2 linked regions of the Oreochromis niloticus genome follow. The protein of the gene in region 1 interacts with the protein of each later gene in a pairwise test. Links are inferred from orthologs where the notes say so. Each region holds a gene or a part of one and is shown in the gene's direction. Other genes may lie near its edges.

Region 1 (10,967 bases):
GGCATTTACGGCAGCGCCTTTTCTCCTTATTTCCTGATCGAAAGCATAGACCTGCGCACAAGTACACGCGCAAGCAGTGACACGTGCACGCGCGCGGACTCAGACATGCACACGCATGCATACAATGCTTTGGGACATCCCAAAGCGGGACAGTCGGGTTGCATATTCAAAAATTCATTAAAAATCTTCCTTAATAGTTGATGCCAAGCTTTCAACACATTCTTCCTCTGGGACACCTACTGTACCTCTGGGCCAGGTTTCATCTCAATCCGCTGCATCAATTATTGTTTAATATTAATGGATCAAAAGTGTTGCTGAGAGAGTCATGACAGCATATTTCAGCCATATTTGCTTGTCTTCACTGACTTGCTTTGAAATCCAGATTTTAATTTTGGAATATCAGGTGTACTTGTGGTTCCTATAGAATTTTAAGGTTGAACGGGAATCAGAGTCTTCATCTCTCAGGCCTCTCTTCTGTGGATGCAGCTCACAATATTAATTCAGAAGACAAACACCCGTCTCTGCTCTTGTTATTAGCATTAAAACCTTCAGTCTTGACAAATAATACAGTCAGAGTGGATCAGGTGACCCTGAATCTTCCCTTATTTGTGCTGCAATAAGCCTCGGCTCTTGCGGGCTTCCCGTGATGTATGAATTTTTTCCTTCTTTGCTCGATCTGTGTTTATACACCTCTCTGCATTTAATCATTAGTTAGTATGTATCTCTTGCTCTCTTGCACAGTGTATATGTTGTCCTGTCTCATTTCCACCAACCTCAGTCAGTCACAGTCGATGGCTGTCTCTCCTTGAGCCTGTTTCTGCCAGATGTTTCTACCTCTTCAAATGGAGTTTTTCCTTCCCACTCTCACTAAATGTTAGCTTATATGGGGTAATTAAATTGTTGGGCTTTTCTTTGTATTATTGTTGTGTTTTTACACAACAATAATACATAAGAAGCGGATGGCTTGACCGCGGGTCACAAATGACGGCTCACTTGACCGCGGTAAAGGAAGTGGGACAGGATAACACCTGAATACACCTGCAGGGCTGCAGGTGTACTCAGGTGTACCTGTGTCTTCAGGAGTATTTGTGTATTTCCTTTCAGCTGAGTTAGATTTTAATTTGACTCTGTTGATAGTTTGATGTTCCTGTGAGCCTGCACCTGTAAAGATTACAAGGTCCATGACCCTGTTAGGGACCCTCCCACGGGGTTTCAAATGTGGGACCAATTGTTCTTGGAACTGAAGAAGCTTCTCTGATTAAGTCCAGACGCTTTTCTTTCCAGGCTCCTGAGACTACGATGAGCTGGATGACTGAGAACCTTCACAGAAACCTATAAAGATTCCTGAATAATCAAATTGTCTTTGTTCTTATTAAAAGTCTTTTTGTTCGTTTTGATTGGACCGTTTCAGCCACGCCTAATTCACCGTGACACACGCTGTGATAAAAGTTTACATTTCATTTATTTTACAACAGAATAAATTGATTTACCTGCTGGAATAACTGCGCGTTGCTCATCTCTCCTGTGGGGTTCACTGACCCGGACATGACCGGAAAACGGCCCAAAAACAGCGAAAAATCCCCAAACTAAGAAAAACGTCCCGAGATTAAACTAAAGCAAACTTCGGCAGTTCCTCTGTATTCAACAGCTTTTGCTGAATTTCATATTTATCCACATATTCGACACGACAGTTTTTGTGGACGTACGTGCCCAACTTCCTGTTTACATCACTTCTTCTTCGTCGCTTTAGAAGCAGCTCGGCGGCTCCACAGCGACACATGTGTCAAACTAAACGCTGCTTCCGTTCGCGTGCTGTCTCCGCGTGTTTGCTGCAGAGCTCCGACTGAGCGCCGGGTATCGATTTCCATTTCTATAATCTATTCAGTTCAGTTTTGACTCAGACAGTCAGAAATATTCTAATTCTGATTATTTATCAGTTCATCTCCATATTTTTATATCTATGTATAAACCAAAGCTGACACTGTGAGACTCCATCAGAGGTGTGAGCATCACAGCAGAGGCCTTTGTGTCACAGTAACTGAGGATAAAACAGAAAATCACGAAGCAGATTTTCCTGGCCTGACTTTTTATAGCAGATAACCTTAAAATATTCTGCAGTAGATCCAAAACAGAAGAAAACCGTGAATGAACATGTGAACATGACCTGATGCAAAGTCACAGAGGTTTGATTACAGACACAGCTGAGCAATCATTTTGTAAAAGTTTACATTTCTTCAATTTGAACAGCAGAAATGAGGCTTTACTGTCAGAGGCGGACAGCACTGAGCACAGCAGCAGGCTGGTGCGTAATAAGCAGAGAATAATGCAGAAAACAGAGATTTGATGGTAAAACTGACTCTGAGTGCACTGAGAGAGAGAGAGCTGTGCAGGAAGTAAAACAGCCAAAGTCAGAGGGAGTTAATGAGCATGTTTATCAAGTGTGAAGCGTAGTTCGGAGCTTCTTTTTCTGCAGGTTCAGTGAATTTTGGTTGGAGAGACAAAACCTGCAGCATCAGAATCACTGAGCTTTCGTTCTTCAGCCCTGACGGCGCGTCCGTGACGTCAGGTGAATGATCCACGCTCTCTGTTTACATGTTTCGGCTCTCGTTTACCGTTTTGGCTGTTTGCTGGTTGTTGAAATAGTTTTGTGAGATTTAACCTGAGATTTTAGCGTTTCTAGCAAAATACATTTACATTTAAAAATCGATTCAGGATTTAATGCATCGAAATCACTTTCTTCAAACTAAAATCGACTGATTTTTTAAACCCACTCCTGCTCTGACTCCATTTAAGCTCCTTTAAACAATTTTCTGTGTAAAAACTAAAACACCTGATTTCCCTCGTTTCAGTTCCCCTGGAAACAAACTTTTTAATTTTCTTTTTAATTCCTGAAAAAAAAAAATAGTCACATGACTCTTCATCTACCCAGAATGCAGTGCAGACGCATGAAGAACAATATGAATGATATTTCAGAGGGAGACATGAAGCCTGACCGTCATCAACACATTAACAGATTAACTCTGATGGTTTTGAGTTTCTTAAACATGAATATGAAGAATATGAGTTCGTCTTCATCACAGACACGTTTTATTGTTACAGACATCAGATAAAATTCATTACTGTCAACATTTGTTTCACTGCAGCTTCTATCGCTGCTGCGGCCTTCATAGCCCGTCTCCTGAGCACGATGGCAGCAGTTTGATGGCGCCGGCGTCTTTCAGAGGTACGGCAGTGCGATTCAGAGGTCACACGGTTTCAGCCGCACTCTTTGGGTTTGGAGAAGGAGCCCAGCTGTTTGGTGTTGACGTCCCTCAGCTGCTCCAGCTGCCGCTGGCCCCGTCGGTACAGATACTCGATGTGCATCACGTCCGTCTTCTTGATGCGGGAGTTCTCTCTGAACTCGTCGCGGATTCGGGGGACGAAGCCCGGTTTGTCCCGCCCGGCTCGCAGGAACTGCCGGTACAGAGCGAGGACCTGCTTCTGCAGCTTACTGTGCCGCAACATCAGACCGAGTCAGCAGAGACAAGAGTCCAATCAGAGGGCAGCTACGCACACATGACGCTCCAACACCGGCGTGTCTCCGGCTGCACTCCCTCACACGTCCACTCTGAACACACCACGAGGCTCAGCTTCACCCGTTTCTTCTCATTCAGGGTCTTAAAGAAGATGTTTGCCTGCAGGAAGAACACAAAGAGAACCGAACAACAAAACAGCATTCAGGCAGATTCATCACGTCACGGTCGCTAGTTTTATTCTCCCACAGGAGAAACTGACACCTTGAAGACACGACAGAAGGCATCTGCTCACCTGCAGCTCCACATTTGAATCCTGCAAGAACAGCTTTGCATCAATCAAAGTTCAAAATAATCCTTCTTTATCTCATGTTCTCTCTCTCAGCCTCCTAACATGCCTTCCTCCTCTCCTCCTCGGACTTCGGTCAACAGCAGCACAGTTTCCCCTGAGCCAGACTGAATATAACAAATCTTCTCCTTTTACCTGCTTGTTTTTATTCAGAATGCATTCACTGGAGTTCTGATGAAGGAACACGTTTTTGGCTCTCGCTGTTTCTGATCTTTAACAAAGGCACAGATCTAACAACACAAACACAGCTGTACTTATGTGTGTTTCATATTCCTGCACAAGCATGAACGTGCACGTGAGCCCAGACTGTTCACACAGGTGTCGACCTGCACGTAAAAGCACGTTTTTATTTCAGTAAAGACTCTTCCTCCGTACTTTTTTTTTTTTACCTGACTGCCTCTCCTGATTTTCTCATCCCTGATTGGTTTCTGTGATAATTGAACTCACCTGGCACACGTTATAACAACAACAGAGTTTAGGTGTGTCTGTCTCTCGCTAAAACACATTTCAGCTAAAATAACATGAATAAGTGATCTTTGGATTCTGATTGGATGCCCATCCTTTGACCCTCCTGAGTAACAGTTTTTACAGTAACACATACAGTAGTATTAGCATTACTTATATTATAGTACTACACGCAGTATTACCAGTAGCTATGGCTTATGAAAGTAACCCACAGCCGGTATTTGCCAAAAACTGATTGCTCGTATTTAAACTGCTATAAGTAACTTGTTGGGCTATAATATGTGAAACATATGTCAAATGCATCCCTCATGGATGACATAAAGTCATCTGGAGCCACAAACAACATTTGTGTACCAAGGTAGAAGCTGCAGTCAGTTTTTGCCAGTGACTTTTATATAACCTTTATTTATGCAGTTAAAAAGAATCTCATTAACATTAAAAATGTCTTTTGTAAGAGTAAGTTGGCCAACAGGACAGCAGAGATGGCAGCAAATATTACAATAGTTCTGTAAAAATATTTTAAGTGGGGATAAAGGAGCGGATTGGTTATAATGTAAGTACAATAACACAGAGTTGTAAAGATACTTGAAAAACAGATAATATTTTAATTCTATATAAAACCCCTTTGTAAACGCTGTTCACCGAAGTCTATTTACCAACATACGTAAAGATATTACACATAAAAAATACACGGAAACATTGGAAATCAGTCTTTGGCACAACACCAGCGGCTGCTGGACCTCAGAGGATTGATCAGTGAGAGCGATCAGTTCAACTTCCTGTTTACCTGACGGAGTTCCGCTCAGACCGGTTCGGACCGGCTCCGCTGCTTCACCTGTTTGTCCTATTCCACCGTCACAGGTACGTCTCCCGGCTCTCTGTGAGCAGCTCCTCTGTGACCTTACTGCGTTATAACACCGGCCTCAGCCGCAACGACCAGGACAAACTACAAAACACGTGATTTCCGGGTCAGATTTTCACAATAAAGCACGCACACAGACAAATTAAAGCTCATACCCGTTTTAAGAACGCTGCTCCTGATTGGTTAGAGCTCAGTTACCTTCTGATGTGTTTATCTGAATCTGGACCGTCCAAAGCGCCCGTGGGGGGGGGGCTGTTCGAGTGGGTTAAAAGCTCTTACTGCGGCGGCGCGGAACAGGAAGATTAGTAGCACTTCCGGTGTCACCTTCTGGAGTCAAATGTCAAGACAGGCGAGCTGAAGGAGGGGGGCTCGTGCTTTTATCACCGGCATCTGTTTCCGGGGGGAAGGCTTCGGCGATTTATGACGCCGGTACCTGCGGAGAAAGTAACGAAGTACTTTTAGTGAACTACAGTTTTCAGGATTCAGATCCGACAGTAAGAGAGGAAGCTCTCCCAGCGTCTGTCACACCTGGTAGACACCAGAAACACCACACCTGGATCACAGGTGAGCCTCCGCGCGCTTGCAATCACAGCCTCGAGCTCTGCGGTGTTTTTTTTAGCTGATGAAGACGCTCTCTGTTCTTCCTCTTACAGACATGGAGATGACAGCTGAGGAACAGCAGCAGGTGGAGGAGCAGGTGGAGAGGCTTTTAAGTGGGCAGGGGTCAGAGGTCACTGTGTGTGATGTGGGCCTGGAGCAGAGCAAACCCGCCACCCTGAGGAAGAACGTCACCTACATCGTCTGTGCTGTCATCTTCAATGAGAAGGTGAACAGAGGTCACCACAGGTAGCCACTCCGTCTCATCAATACCCTTAAATGATTGCTTATTTAATTAATTAACACTCCTTCAGGAGGAGGTGCTGATGGTCCAGGAGGCCAAACCGGACTGTTACAAACAGTGGTATCTTCCTGCTGGGAGGGTGGAGGTGGGGGAGAGCCTGGAGGAGGCGATGAAGAGGGAGGTGAGTGAGGAGGAGCCTGTAAGAGTAAGAAGCTGCAGCTCCTCCAGCGTCCAGCAGGGGGAGCAGCGAGTCAGGCCCCATAGACTCCCATGTTAAAACAAACCTGTTTACAGCCTGATACACAAACAGTTTGGTCTCTGTGGATCATATACTCCTTCATAACAGCTGTACACGGAAGAGCGTTTCTATTACTCACCTGTTCAAATTGTATTCAGGCTTAAAGTTTGCATTATTAGAGGCGTGGCCTCTTTGACTGACAGGTAGATGGTGGTACAGGTGGCTGTAGCAGCTAGCTGTCTGCTAGGCTTCACCTTAACTAATGGGAGTCCCTGAACTGGACCCCTGGACCCTGTTTGTGCTGTTGGACCCTTTTGGAGCTTTTTAATGACATCATGTGACCAATAATATGCCTGCTGTGAGGTCACTGTTAAAACAGAGCATCCAAGGAGGCGGAGCTACAGTTCAGATATTACTGAGCACTGATTAGCAGATATGTGTTTGTGTGATGTTTGCATAAGCTCTGTGAATGCAGCTTGCCAACTTTCTAACCAAGATATGCCAAATACGGTCACTTAAGGTTGAAAAAGTCAAAATACTGAAATAACAGTTTGTTTTTTCATTGGGTAAGCACCGCCTTCCTTGCTTGCCCTGACAGAACAACACTGCTTTACAGAGATCAGGGGGCGAGGAGGAGGAGTGATCTGGCTTTAACATCAGTGTTATGTCACCTGTGTGAACATGTTTGTTTTTTGTATATCAATAAAATGTCTGAAAAATCATAATCAGAGGCTTTGCTTGTTTTGAACCTTTTTAACATTGGAGTCTATGGGAATAACTCGCTGGTGGAGCCCCAGGTGGACGTTAGAGGAACTGCAGGTTTTGGTGTTTCAGTTTTTTCTTTTTTAAAAAAAAACTCTTTTATTACAGTTTTTTCTGATGGCTTAAGCACATTTTTTGTAACTATTGGCTATTTTTGCAAAACTCTACACACAAATAAGAAAACTCTTCACCCAATCAGCAAAACATTGTAGTTTCCTTGTAAAAGCGAATAACCTTTGCTTAACTCTCCACACCTTTGTAAAAATGGTATTTTCGTATCCAACAGTTAACACAAGCCATCATATTAATAAGCACACAATGCACCAACTACACACTGATGGTATGAATGAAAACACATCTGGCTTTTGCTTTCTCTGTGCACAAGGTAGGCTATGTCAGATTGAGCTCATACTTTTGTCATAGATCCGTAAGCATAGAGGGATCCAAACTTCAAGTACTGCTGTTTATTCACACACATCAAAACAAACACAAGTGTTTATTTCCAAGTATAGGATTATTTCCAATCACCATATTGACTATATGGGTTTCTTGGTCTGCAGTGAACATGCTTCCTCTGCTCCCAGCATCTGGTCGTCTAGCAATTCTGTAAAGTAACAATTTCAGTATTTTTACATCTATGGTATTGTTGTGTTTCTCATTAGCATGGCAGTGCTACAGATCTTAGTGCAAAGTGACTGTACTAACCGACTCTCATTTCAAAATGTCCTTATGATGCTTGCTACAGTGTAGCGGCTCGAGTTAGGCTGAACCCGTTGGCCTCCTCTAATTCTCACTCTTCCTGCTCCCTCCATTGTACTCCACACACACAGAGCTTACCTGTAGCTTATTTAAAGTGCTTAGGCTGATTGCAAAGTGATCTAATGATCTAAAAAAGTTTTCACATGTGACAGTGTGCCAGACAGTTGGCAAAATAGTGTAAATAATGGCTATAAATGTGTAAAGTTTTGCTAGGAGTGTGTTGATCATTTGGAAATTGAGTGTAAAGCCGTGAGTTGTGTGTTTACAGTTCTGCAAAAAGAGTGCTGTGCAGTGGATTGTAGCTACAGGTTTGCAAAGTGTGTGTTACAAAATGGCAAACTGAGTGCAAAGCAGTGTTTGTGCTTTTAGTTTTGCAAACTCAGTGAGTGGTTTTGCCATAAGTATTAATAGTTTTAGAAATTGTGCTATAAGAATCACAGTTAGGGTTTAAGCATTCAGAAAAAACTGTAAGAAAGTACATTGAACATAACAGTAGTATGACTCTCTACATTGCTTTTGCTTTCAGATTTGTAAACTTATAGTTGAAAACCCCCCCCGTAAGAACTTGGGTTGGGGGTAGTGGGGTAGCCAAGTTAGCTTCGCGTTATTAGCATGGGTATTTCAATCAGTGCACGAGCATAAAAGTGGCAGGCTTGATAGAAAATCCCACCTCACAGGCTCAAACATATTCTGTAGAAGGTATCCGTCTGCACTTTGAGAGAGAAAGACAGTTTTTCCATGGTATAGATGTCTTCTACAGAATATATCCAGTCTTCAGTCAGGCTTGAACCATCTCCTCGTGAGGGCCTGTTTACTCACATCCGGCAGTCCCAGGAATTATGGAAATGGTTAGCACCATCTCCTCCACATCTCCAACAAGTGTCACCAGTTCCCAGATACCTTTTCTGAGCAGGGGGATGAAGAATCTCATGATGCTTTTCCAGCAAAATTCACGCCAAACAACAGTGGTAGTCCACTGTATGCATATGTGGTCCCAGCACTCCTCTGAAATGGTCAGGTTAGCTTTTTTCCCCCACTTCACTTTAACAAACAGTGCTTTTGTTTTTACACAGGATGCTGTTGTATAATCTGGAAATGATTTTATTGTGTGCTCCAGAATTAGTTAATGATACAAATGTTACTACAAATCGTAGATTGTTTATATTCACTTTCAGGTCTTGATTAAAATAATTTCTGACCTGTAGATATCTGAAGAAATCGTCTGAGCTTAAATCATATTTTCTCCTTAAGGTTTCAAAGCTTTGAAACGCCCCCTTGTGGACAGATGATAATAATTAGTTAGGCCTTTTGGAATCCAGTTCCTGAAGCTCTTATCGCACTGATTCAGGGTAAAGTCTGAGTCATATATGCTCCATCTAAAGACTTTAGAGGCATTTTCAAACCACAAATTCTTATTGCTTCACTCCAAGCAGATATCATTACTTGTAGGATGGGTTCATCTGGCAGGTTTGTTTTGTTCTGTAGCTTTGTGTCTGATATTAAAGCTGTAGCTGGTATTACTTTAACATTTGTTCCTTCCAGATCTTTCCATCCCACAGTGTAATCTAAACAACAGAGACATATCAATGGCCTTTTTGTGGTGTGGGAATCTGTAACGACTGAAACAAATGCAGCATGTTTAATCTAATGGATTCAATCCTAGAGTGTAGGTCCAATTAGGGATGGTATTCCATTATATCAGATTTTATGGATTCATTCACAGGACCATAGTTGGCATCAAACATTTTGGTGACATCACGATGTATTACCACCCCTACGTACCTAATTTCCATTTCCAGCGATTCTTAATTTCGATTGGTGGATCGTAGTTTAGAGTTAGTACCTGCGTTTTGTTTACATTAACCTTGTATCCTGAGAAACTCTGAGAGCATTTCCATGATTTTGGGGAGTGCCTGTGTGGGACAGGATGTAGTAGGTCGTCGGTGAACAGTGCTACTCTCTGGTCCCCTCCTGCCGTTCTTACTGTCTCTGCCTGATCCACTGATGGTTCTGTAAACAAGCTGTTTCTGATGATTTAACGATCTTCACAGCGTAGCCTCTACTGGACATGTCCTTAATGGCTTCCACCGCTGTGTTGTAAATCTTTGTTTATCGGTATATTTCACCTTAGCTAAGCTGGAGGGGATCTGCTGCTCTTTCAGAGTCTTGCACGCGTTGGCGTATTCTCTTGGTTTTTTTAGAATCGGGGGGTTAGTCATGGTCCAAACTCACGTGGTTGGAGGTAAATCCTCTGTTCTGCCATGCCTTACGAAGCAGCAGTTCCTTTGTTTTGAAGCTGAGGAATTTCACAATAATAGATCGCAGGGGAGCGTCGCCTGGGGGTGGTGCGCCCGTTCGATGCGTACGTCAAGTTTATCTTGGGACAGCCCAGGCCTTCCCGCGGCAACTTCTCAACAAACTCACTCATTGTTGTAGAGCCCGCTCTGCTGTCGCGGGTACAGCATAAAGGCTCTGTAGGTCTGTCAGTTTGTCCTCCACCTTCACCTGTAGCTTTATTTTTTCAATCATGGCAACCTCGGTGCTCTCGATCCTCCCCTCAGCCTCGTCCAGTCTGGCGCTCACCTTTAGGATTTCTTCCTTCATCTCCCCAGTTTTGCACTGTTTTCTTGGCGAAAGTCTTTTATTTCCTGTAACACAGTGTCCAAGTCAGCCATATTTCAGCCGTTGCTTGCTGGGGTTGGATCACAGTGTGCGGCAGCAGGTTTGCAGTGAGAGGTGAAAAGTATTAGCCTGGAAGCTAGCATTATTTTCCCACCGTTAAACTACCACTTTATTGCCACCTCAGAGTATTGGTTTGGTGTATTTCGCTCACCCCCTTCTTTATTCACCTCGAGGGACAAATGTGCGTCGTCTTAGTGGGGTTAGATTTTCAGTTTTGTAGGTTCCCTCAGGAGCTCGCTCACAGCGCCGCCATCACGGTGACGTTCAAAGCGGAAGTCCGTTTCAGTGTTTTCTTTCATTAAAGATGATATTTGGGAGATGACATGAAGCTTTATGGAACTTAAATAAAATTTGTAGTTTTTTAAGGCCATCATTAGAAGGGACTGCACAATGATGAGTTTCCAGGTTGCCTCTGATTTCTGCTGCAGTATTTAAAGCTGCCCTGTGTTGAGCAGCAGCTTTGTGAGATGTTTGCTTCAGGGATAAATTCAGTGTCA
Region 2 (10,665 bases), on another chromosome or scaffold:
ACCAGAGGGTGGCAGGGGATGGAGTGACACATCAGTGTCTAATGTAGTGGTTTATGTGCAAGTAAACCATCAACATTGACACAAATACAAGAAAACAGCCTTTGAATAGCTGCCCACTGTAGTGACCACTATGCATGAAAGGGTTAAAGAAAAAGTTGCATCAAAAGATGGATGTGATCTCTTAATATGTGGAAGCACGTTTCTCTTTTTCAGTCTCCTCCACACACAGACTCAAATAGCTTACATTTAATAAATGAAACCAATGACTCTCTTTTTTTTGGGGGGGGGGTCATACTCACACTGAGACATAATTGAATCGGCCATTCCCACTAAAGAGGCCTCTGACGCTGTAATCCAATAATACACTCCTTTTCGTCCACTTTGAAGAGCATCTTTTAAGAATGTTCCTTTAACCCAGACAGCAGAGGGTGCTTGCAGCCTGTAGCTCAATCTTTCTCTGTTTCACACGCACACGCACATGCCAACACACACTCATCCCTGAGCTGCATCTTGGCAAGACAGCAAGACAAGGCAGTCATTAGTATACAAAATGCACCCTACTCATTGGAGCATTAAACTTGAGAGACGGCCATTTCTGGTGATGTAGAGTCATCTCTTAATGTTGGTTTGTGATAGTTTTCATATCCGACTTTACAGTGAATTATATTCCCTCCTGCTGTTGCTCTCATATCTTTCTCCCTTTCTTTCTCTCTCCCAGTGTCGGTGTGTGGCTCTGCACCGCCACAGGTTGCCAAAATGAATGAGAAGCTGTTGGAAGCCAGTCTTCAGTTCAAGAAGAAACAGCCCAAAGGCAACATTGATGTGTGGTGGCTGTTTGATGATGGAGGTAATTCTTGGCTCATTTTTATGAACACTGCCTGAAGTTCGTAACAGATAGGTGCACACAAATCCATAACATTCTCCTCGATATCACTGGAGACAAAAATATATGAAACAAGCCAAATCTTTAAAAAGTAGTAGTCTCTGAAAGATGCAACATGGAGCAATAAATAAAAAATGTGCTTCTCTTCTCTCAGGTCTTACACTGCTCCTCCCCTACATCCTCACTACCAGGAAGAAGTGGAAAGACTGCAAAATGAGGATCTTCATCGCAGGACAGCCTGGACGCAGTGATCTGGATAAGGAGGAGTAAGTAAACTAATTAATATTTCAATATCAATTGCAGTTTAATATGTGGAAGTTAGATTGGATACATTAATTGGCAAGATATGAAAATTCATGTGCTGCTAACGTTACTGGAATGCTATTTAGCATTAACACCAAAATAATGAAGTACATTTATATGAAAGCTAATCAGTGCATGGTGATTTGACTTGCAGGATGAAGGGCTTGCTGAAGAAGTTTAGAATTAACTGCAGTGACATTAATGTCTTTGATGACCTACATACCAAGCCCAGGTCTGAAAGGTAACTGCCATTTCTTTTCACATGCACAAGGAACAGCGAACCAGATGCTGAAGTAGTAATAGTAAAAATTAATCACATTGTAATATCAGCATGCTACAGGTTTAGGGGAGAAAAAGAACATTTATAGAGAAAGCTCATGTTCCTATTTGCATTTGTCCAGCTTGAAGGAGTTACAGGAGATGATTGAGCCTTTCCGTCTGCATGAAGGGTCCAAAGACCCTGATCAGATTAGAGCCTTGCAGAAAGAGCAGCCCTGGAAGATCACCGACAAAGAGCTAAGCCAGTTTGAGGAGAAGGTAAAAACCACTGACACTAAGTAATAACCTTACACAGGCTACAGTGAAGATATCATGTATTATCTTCATATCAATATAAACAAAATAAAAAATGTATTGTTAAAAAAAATAACTGTCGCTTTTGTTACAGACACACCTCCAGGTACGACTGAATGAGCTCCTCAAGGAACACTCCAGATCAGCCAATTTAATCATTGTGTAAGTATATATTGTCTGAATAACACTACCAAGCATAATCCAGTGTTGAAAGAACAATGTCTAACATATTTGTTTACACTGTTGACCCCCTGTAGGAGCATGCCAATAGCTCGTAAAGAAACGATCTCTGATTTCCTCTACATGGCCTGGCTGGACATTCTGACAAAGGACCTTCCACCCACCCTGCTCATTAGAGGCAACCACAAGAGCGTGCTCACTTTCTACTCTTGAGCACTTTCCATGCTAACAATCCGAGTGTGATATAGCTAGAAAGGAAAAGGAATGGTGTTGCCATAATGACAAGCCATGTTTAAATAAAATGGCCGGCAGAAAAGTGTAACACAATCAAGCATTTGTGGATAACTCCAGTTGAAAGCATGTATGTGTCAAATGATACATCAAAAGTCTAATGCCCTCTAAGAAAGGACACACACACATGCAACAAGTCTGTATTTCCGAAATTGAATTTGTAAATGTGAATGTGTCTGAATATGAATTTAGCAGCTTAGAAGAACACATAGTCAAATCAATTCAAATCAGTTCATAAACAAAGGCAGAGACACAACCACGGCTGTGCAATGGTCATACTGAATGTGACTGTAAAATAATTGTATATAGTAGATGTGTGTATTCTAGAAATGATCAACATCTTGTTATTGGCAACTTTATTATCAGTTCTTTTTTTAAACACTTGTTATATTCACTGTGTAAAATACACTGCTGCCATTATACAGATGTTTACCTTTCACGTGACATTTTTTCAATATTTTTCATGTTACTTTCATAGTACACTTTTTAAGGGCAACAGAATAAGGTAGAACATTATAAATCAGATTATTCTGTAAATTTTACCCTTCCTATTTTAGTCTATCTATTTAAGCACATAATGTTAATCAGCTGAAATAAAGATTAAAAACATTTGTGATGTCTTCTTATGTGAATATATTATATTTATTTATAGTGTCAGATGTTCTTAGTCCACAGAAATGTGTCAGTGGAGGGGGAAATGGGGTATTTGCCGCAGCATATAATTTAGATGTCTATTCATTTTAAATGTATAGTATCTTACTTGGCACCTTACAGACTTCATTTGGATATTTTCTCATTTTTTGATGATTATGGTTATATATAGTTTGGAACACTGGGAATAAAAAGTCTGCACACTTTGAAAGTAGTCAGCAGAACCTAAGGTTTAATAATGATGATGTTCATCAGACACATTTATTTATTGCAAACCATAAAAGATCTTTTGGGTTAAAAGTAAAGCTGCACATGCCACCTACATATCAGCCAAATCAAGATCAGCCTTCCCTATCAGCAAATAAGACGACCTTTACCGTTGGCAGTAGCCATAACCCAGTGTCTATCTGTTGTGTCACATCAACGATACAGAGTTCAAACATAATTTAGCTCACTCTAAAACTATTATTTTAATTGCTGTAGCTGAAATTTTGCAGAAAATTTTGCAGAAAACAAAAAAACACACCTATACAGGCATAACCTGTCAGTATTGGGCCACAACTCCCTGATCATATTATGTGTCTATGAATATATTACACTGAATGTGAATCCCCTTTTAACCACTTTAAACCCACAGACAGAGCTAAAATTTGTAATCCAACAGAAACTTTTTGACTGATGGTGATATTCAAGGGAGAAAATCTTAAAATTCAACTCTGTTCTCAGATAAAGGGTTATAGATACTCTGAGTATGATCTTTGAACATCGGCTGTTTTTTCACTCATTTTCAGGCCAGTCCTTGTACCTGACCATGTTTTTGTTTGTTTGTTTAAGTTGTTTAACAGTGATCTATGAATCATTCAAGCATTAAAAAAAGGCTGTTGTGTCGACACATACTGTAAAAGACAACTTAATTCCTAAAGAGCTGACCCAGAATATGAGAGCTGCATCTGGCCTTTCAGTTGAGAACAGAGAGAACAGGTGGAGGTATGCCAAATGACACAAGGGCAAATCAGTAGTACCAGGTCTTATGGAGGGAAGAAAAAAATTTGACACTTTTGGTTCAAATCATCAATGTATACAGAGAAGGCAAGGAGTCCAACACTGAGTGTCTACAGCCATCTGTAGGCTGTGGTTTGGGACTGCATTTCAGCCTGTGATGTATGGGATCCTGTCAAAATCGATACACTCAAGAACCAAGAAAAATCTGATTTTGAGCCACTATGTAGTACCATCTGGAAAGCATCTGATTGCCAATAGCTTAATTTTTAAATATGACAAAAATCCCAAACACATGGCCAATCCAGTAAAAGCATACCTAGATAGAAAAACAGCACCACTGGTCATGGATTGGCCTCACCAGATCCTGGACCTTAACTTTACTTAAGCAGCGCGGAATCATCTTTCCAGAGAACAGAGCGAAGCTGTTTCCAAAAAACAGCTTCAAGATGCCTGAAGAGTTCAGGCTGTGTTGACGAATCAAGGTGATCATAAAAAAATGTTGAATTTCAAGGTTGCTAGAATTGTATAAAACCTGTTTTACAGATATAAATATATATCTATATCACTCTCTGGCTCGCAGTATATAAATTACTGCATCTGTATGTCCCATTTTGCTAGCAAAATATAAAGAAATGAGGGTTGGCTCGAGACTTTAACACAATTAAGAGAGATCTGCACTGTGATGGAGAGAGAGCTGGCTGCCATGTCATGAAGACCCTGGAAAGACTCATCCTTGACCAACTCCGACCTATTGTCAGGCCACATCAGGATCCCCTTCAGTTCGCTTACCAGCCCCGCCCCGCCTACAAGAAGAGCCAGAGTTGCCTCTATTTTCTGAGGTGCTGAGGTCTTTTAAAATCTGTCAGACAATGCTCAGGATTTTTTACAAGTCTGTTGTGGTCAGTACCATCCTCTATGCTATTGTGGTCAGTACCACCCGCAGGTTGAGGGTCGCATATGCCAATCGACTCAATAAAACTGATCTGCAAGGCCAGTAATGCTGTGGGGATGGAGCTGGACTCCCTTAAGGTGGTGTCGGAGAGGGGGATGTTGTCCAATATAAGGACAATGCAGGATAATACCTCCCACCTTCGCCATGACGTGCTGGCCAGTCAGAGCAGAATATTCAGTGAAAGACTGAAATTACCCAAATGCACCAAAGAACGACGCAGGAAATCAATCCTGCCCATCTAATGCACACTACACAGTGCAATAGTTACACCCTTTTGCACATGATCTTTTTACATTATTAAATTTAGTTCAGTTTGTTACTGTTATTGTCTTACCCACATTATTACTTAACCACATTATTTCCTTGGCGATTAATAAAATATTTTGATTCTGATTTAAATCGTGATACCAGCACGTTCAGATGCTGTGACCTGCAACGGCATTTAGGGGTCATGCTGTGGCATATGGAGTCGGAGAGGATGTCCTGCTATTTGGAGATGACAGCACAGCAGCATTTTGGGATGATGCCACATCTCGGTGCTGATGCCACGATTTGAACTACCCCCGTGTGCTGCCACATCTCGGTGCTGATGCCACGATTTGAACCACCCCCGTGTGCTGCCACATCTCGGTGCTGACGATTTGAACTACCCCCGTGTGCTGTGACAGCAAATTAAATTAATATTTAAGAACATACCCTATCAAACAGAATGGGTTGCGAGTCGATACGACGAAGAGTACATAAATCGTGTTTCGTTCCTTGGTTGTAGCCTATAAAATCGTTTGCGTATTTTATAGGCTGCTGAAGCTTAGAGCCGCTCCGAGACACAGCGGGGGGGGGGAGTGCGGCGTTGGTGAACCTGAGAAACCTGCCAAACGACATTATTAACAGTATGGCCCGAATGCTGCTAAAGGACTTTCAGCTATGCTCGTGGGTTTTTAACGCTGCTCCACGTTTCTTGGGTAAAGAACTGCACTTTCAAATGACAACTAAAACTAAAGGCAAGCAAGAAATTAAAAGCGATAACACCGCCATGACCGACACGCCAGGAAGTGCTTAATGGCGTTAGCTTTGCTAGCCTGTCTAACGTTTTGTAACTGTCTGCTTTGGTTTGCTCGTGTTGTTTTCTTTCTTGTTTGCCGTGTTCGAACCACGTAAGCTAAACAGTCCTTCTGTTTTGTTCGGATATATAATGTATAAGGCTTATGTCAACGATTTCCTTTTTGTTTTTGTAGGCTGATATATTCTTCCACCGGAAGTTCGAAATGTTTATATTAGTAACTCTCGCGAGAAAACTCGCGTTAACTACTTTGACGTAGAGCGGGAATTTCATACAAATTATCTCGCAGACCCGGGAATACACTGAAGCAGATTCTTGGTGGAAGTTTGTAGTGTCGTCCTTTAATTATCAATAACTTAGTTTTTAGTAGGTTTTAATTTTTTTAGTGTACTGTAGGTTTTTAATTTTGCATACTTTGCCAACATGCCCGTCCTAGAAGTCACAAATGCTTCTGCAGTTTCTCCATCAAAGAGAACAAGGACAGAAACACACCCTGCAGAGGAAAGACCTGTCCTCAAATTTGCTAAACTTTCTGAGCATGCTACGACCCCGACCAGAGGCTCAGCTAAAGCAGCAGGTTATGACCTTTACAGGTTAGTAACTCTTTAAACTGAAATTGTGTTAGGTTCACCAGACGCCTAATTTGTGACTGTTGATGTGTGTGCATGTATATTTAAGTCTGATTGTACCTTTAACTTGAAGTATTATTTTAAAAATGCAGATAAGCTTACCTTTACTGTCTTTACTTAACAGTGCGTATGATTACTCCATTCCTTCTATGGATAAGGCCATTGTAAAGACAGACATTCAGATAGCAGTTCCACATGGCTGCTATGGGAGAGTTGGTGAGTGTCTCTCTGCTATTCAATTTTTATTTGTTTTGGGGTTTTTTTTGTTTAAAATTTTATTTGAGTTACCTGTCGTGTGAACTCGTGTTAGGCTTTCCTGTTTGTGCACCAGTTGTAAAACACCAGGTCATCTGTAACTGTCTTTTTGTGGTTTTTCCCTCCCCAGCACCAAGATCTGGACTAGCAGCAAAACACTTCATTGATGTTGGTGGTGAGCTAGCTAGCTATCTGACCTAATCATTGCAAGTTAACCCCAGTAGTGTACAGACATCTTAATTTGTCTTATGTGTCGCATGTTCTCCTCAGCTGGAGTTGTAGATGAGGACTACAGAGGAAATGTGGGTGTTGTGCTGTTCAACTTTGGCAAAGAGACGTTTGAAGGTGAGTTATGGTGACAATAATGTATATTGTCAGTCTTTCATAACCACAGTAACCAATGAAAGTAGTCAGATTAGGGGATGACATTCATGCGCTCCACGTATGGCTTGAAAATATAGATGCAGTATGGTACAAAAGTAGACTTGGATACTTTAAAAGATTGATGCAATTATCAGCTTTTATTTATCACTAAATTTTGTGATTTAAAAAAAAAAATAAAAAATTGGTATTTTGTGTGAACGACTTTATCCATAAAATTGTATCAGTTTACTTTTTAGAACTAAAACTGGGTATTGTGTCAGCTATTGGCTTCACTTTGAAGACCAATATATTATATTGCTTATATTTAATTTAAGCCAAAAAATAAATAGTATTTTTACTGTTGACACTTTTCAGCCTATTGCAGAGCTCATTGGAGCTTAATAATGGAAGTATACACATAAACACTTGATATGAAGACTTTTATCGATCAGTCAGATTTAAAGGTTATCTCATCTGCTTCCTCTTAACCTTACAGTGAAAAAGGGCGACAGAGTTGCTCAGCTGGTGTGTGAGAAGATCTGCTACCCAGATCTGGTGGAGCAAGAGGTAAATTGAATTTATTGGGTAGATCTAATTAAAACCGGTGCAACATAAATGTTTCATGATAGTCATGAAAAGATGCGAAGCTTCAGCTGTGTGGCTATTAGAAGCTGCCATTTTTTGTTGCTCTTGAACTATTATAGGCTACACTACTTAAAGATGTGTAGGCTTATGTCTGTGAAACAAAATGAACTTGAACAGCACTACAAGTGACACAGAAATTGTCAAAAAGCTGAATCTCATCCTCTGAGTTTCAGAACCAGAAAATTAGTCTTCTTTAAGGTTGGGGTTTTAGTAGGATTTCAGCTAAGTATACTTAAAGTGCTGGTTTATTGCTACTTTTTAAAACTACTTTGTGGTGGCTGTAGTTTAGGAGGTAGAGCAGGTCATCCACTAATCAGAACGTTAGTTGCTCCTGCTCCAGTTTTCATACCAAATATTCTTGAGCAAGATTATAACCCCAAGTTGCTCCCCAGTACATCCATCTGAGTGTGAATCTTAAGTAGAAAGAATAGAGGGGAAAAAGTGCTTGGGTGAATGAGGCAAGTTGTATAAAGCGCTTTGAGTGTTCAGAGTAGGAAAAAGAAAACTATGTAGAAATAAAGGTTTAATAATACATTTGTTTTCTTGTGTATTTCTTCAGATTAGTTTTAGTCTTTAAATCCAAGTATTTGCCTTTATTTATTTATTTTTTCTGTTTTAGACACTCGATGAAACAGACCGTGGCGCTGGAGGTTTTGGATCAACTGGAACCAACTGAAACCCTCAAATGTGTTTTTAAAATATGTTACTTATAACTTCGATAAAATAAGAAATAAAGTTTTGTTTTATATTTGAGTCTAGAGTTTTGCTGGGACTGAAAACCATGCGTTCCTAAAGTTATAAATTCTCAACAAAGTTATTCGTCCAGATGGCCACATGGGGGCAGTCATACACAAGAATGTAATCTGCTCAAACTATTTCATCTGCCAGAGACTTGGTAACTTCCCTTTACTTAATACAAACGTGTGCAGAAAGAGGACATATAGGTGCCTGCTCAACTTGGTAACAATGGTAATACAATTCAGATAAAGGGGGAAGCACAGCAGTGAGTACATGTACTCCAAAAATGTTTTTATTGTGAATTTACATCTAAACCCTCACTGATGTGAACATGGAACACAGACTGGTGTCAGGCTGGTCCATTGCAATGCAGCACTGATTTTGACTTGTGAGAGAGTATGTGGCCATGAAGACCTCAGTGCATAATCATGAAGGCCCAGGTTTGGCATCATCAATGTGTTTTTTTTGTGTGTGTGTGTGTGTGTGTGTGTGTGTGTGTGTCTGTGTCTGTATGTATGTATACACAGTTTACAAAGGAAGTAGTTGGTCATTATAAGCACCATTACAACCCCTTCCCCTCTATTCCAGGGGCTTCCTCTAGTTTACAAAAGCTTCATAGATTAAAAGTGGCATTGATTATTACAGTATAAACACAATTTACATGTAGTATAGAGGAGAGCAGGCAGGCTATGAAGCTAGCTGTTACTGTTGCAAAGACATGAAACCTTCAGAAAGGCCAATGGGATTGCGCCTTGTTCACTACTGAGTGCATTCAAAAGTCTATGTGGATGTGTTGCTAGCACCAGTAAATATGAATTATTCTAGTCAGTAGGAAAAATGGAAAAGCATAGTTCAAATATGCGGTAGGAGTCGTTCAAGCTCCGACATAGCTACATCTCAATAGTCCACAATGGGTTCCTCTCCTCTCCTAAGCCTTATTTGGGGAAACAAAGAAATGTGTGTATCCAGGTTTGATAGTCATTTACCTGAGGGGAGGAAATGAATTTATTTCAGACTATTGGGACTCGCCTCTTTCTTTTTATCCCCCCGCCACTTAAGCTGAGTTCTAAGAAAACAAACAAACTTGGCCCTTAGAGCTTTCTGCAGTCCACAAGCCCTTCAATGTGGCATCCGATTCCACATATCATTATACAAGATTAAACCATACAATTACAAACCCTATCCACACCCTCAATAGTGCTTTAAACGCAGCTGGTGTGTCGGGGTGATATGCTTTTTATTTCGACTGGAATCTTTCACACCTTCGGTGGATACTTTCCACAGAAATTGTACCTATGATATGCAGAATCATCTTTGGTGATCAAATGACACAAAACAGTCCATCCCCCCACCCCCACCCCCGTCTTGTCTCTTTGGTGGCGAGCCCTTCTCCCGGTTAGAGCGAGTAGACGTTAACCCTTAGCTGCTGACCCAGAGTCAGAAATGTTTGGCCTTTTTCAGGGGGGACTGTGAGCTTGACACTGGATTAGCAGCTGCTGGCAACATCTGCCTCTCTCAGTCTTGTGATGGTTAATGGAGGATTATCTGCACCCTCATCTTCAGTATGTCTCCCAGCTGTCCTGTGAGGTAGTCTTTATCATGTTGGTCCTCCAGCAAAGCCAGCTCCTTCTTCCTGTACAGGGGCATACTGCTGATATGAAGGTAGTATGCACCTGGCACGAGGCCCTTCTTCTTGCTCAAGTGCAGGTAGCTGACACCCTCCCTCTGGTTGATTTTGAAGTAGCCTTCCTCATTTCCGTAGTCGATGCTGTAACGCACATGGTCGCTCAGTGTGCTTAAGGCCGGGGTAAACTCAAGGATGTGGTCGCGGTTACTCAGGTCATTGATGTTCAGGTGGAACTGGAGAGTGTCTTCGATGTCCACACTGGCCAGGCTGACCACCTCTGTCTCAGTTAGCTGCAAAGAGAAAATGTGGTCTGGCTGAGTTTAGAGGCTAAAGATGTCCAAGAGTAAAGTCATGTGCAAACACAGCAGAGTGAATCTGTGAATCAGTGTTAATTAAATCTGACTAGAAGCTGGAGACATTATGAAAGGAAATAACTTGTAATCGGTTGGTAGATCTGTCATTTAATACAGATTTTCACAAAGTTGTTTCCTTTTTTACATGAAGATTTTGGTC

Evidence for each region.
Region 2: the proteins of nudt18 (region 1) and dut interact in binary tests that used the Homo sapiens proteins (3 or more experiments, as listed by UniProt). The two-hybrid records come from large-scale screens. The link is inferred for Oreochromis niloticus from reciprocal best matches to the Homo sapiens genes NUDT18 and DUT.

Annotation. Positions count from the first base shown.
Region 1 is NC_031977.2:38,178,482-38,189,448, forward strand, and holds the start of nudt18 (8-oxo-dGDP phosphatase NUDT18), read left to right. Parts: upstream 1-5,615; 5' UTR 5,616-5,752; intron 5,753-5,841; 5' UTR 5,842-5,843; coding exon 5,844-6,014; intron 6,015-6,099; coding exon 6,100-6,210; intron 6,211-10,967. Other genes in the region: uncharacterized protein LOC100698890, read right to left, coding at 1,491-1,547; sdhaf1 (succinate dehydrogenase assembly factor 1, mitochondrial), read right to left, coding at 3,256-3,504. UniProt on the Homo sapiens protein: Mediates the hydrolysis of oxidized nucleoside diphosphate derivatives. Hydrolyzes 8-oxo-7,8-dihydroguanine (8-oxo-Gua)-containing deoxyribo- and ribonucleoside diphosphates to the monophosphates. Hydrolyzes 8-oxo-dGDP and 8-oxo-GDP with the same efficiencies.
Region 2 is NC_031965.2:12,770,551-12,781,215, reverse strand, and holds dut (deoxyuridine 5'-triphosphate nucleotidohydrolase, mitochondrial), read left to right. Parts: upstream 1-5,658; 5' UTR 5,659-5,727; coding exon 5,728-5,836; intron 5,837-6,331; coding exon 6,332-6,488; intron 6,489-6,648; coding exon 6,649-6,740; intron 6,741-6,909; coding exon 6,910-6,954; intron 6,955-7,049; coding exon 7,050-7,124; intron 7,125-7,638; coding exon 7,639-7,709; intron 7,710-8,406; coding exon 8,407-8,463; 3' UTR 8,464-8,540; downstream 8,541-10,665. Other genes in the region: slc12a1 (solute carrier family 12 member 1), read left to right, coding at 719-847, 1,038-1,149, 1,341-1,427, 1,588-1,723, 1,854-1,921, 2,017-2,152. UniProt on the Homo sapiens protein: Catalyzes the cleavage of 2'-deoxyuridine 5'-triphosphate (dUTP) into 2'-deoxyuridine 5'-monophosphate (dUMP) and inorganic pyrophosphate and through its action efficiently prevents uracil misincorporation into DNA and at the same time provides dUMP, the substrate for de novo thymidylate biosynthesis.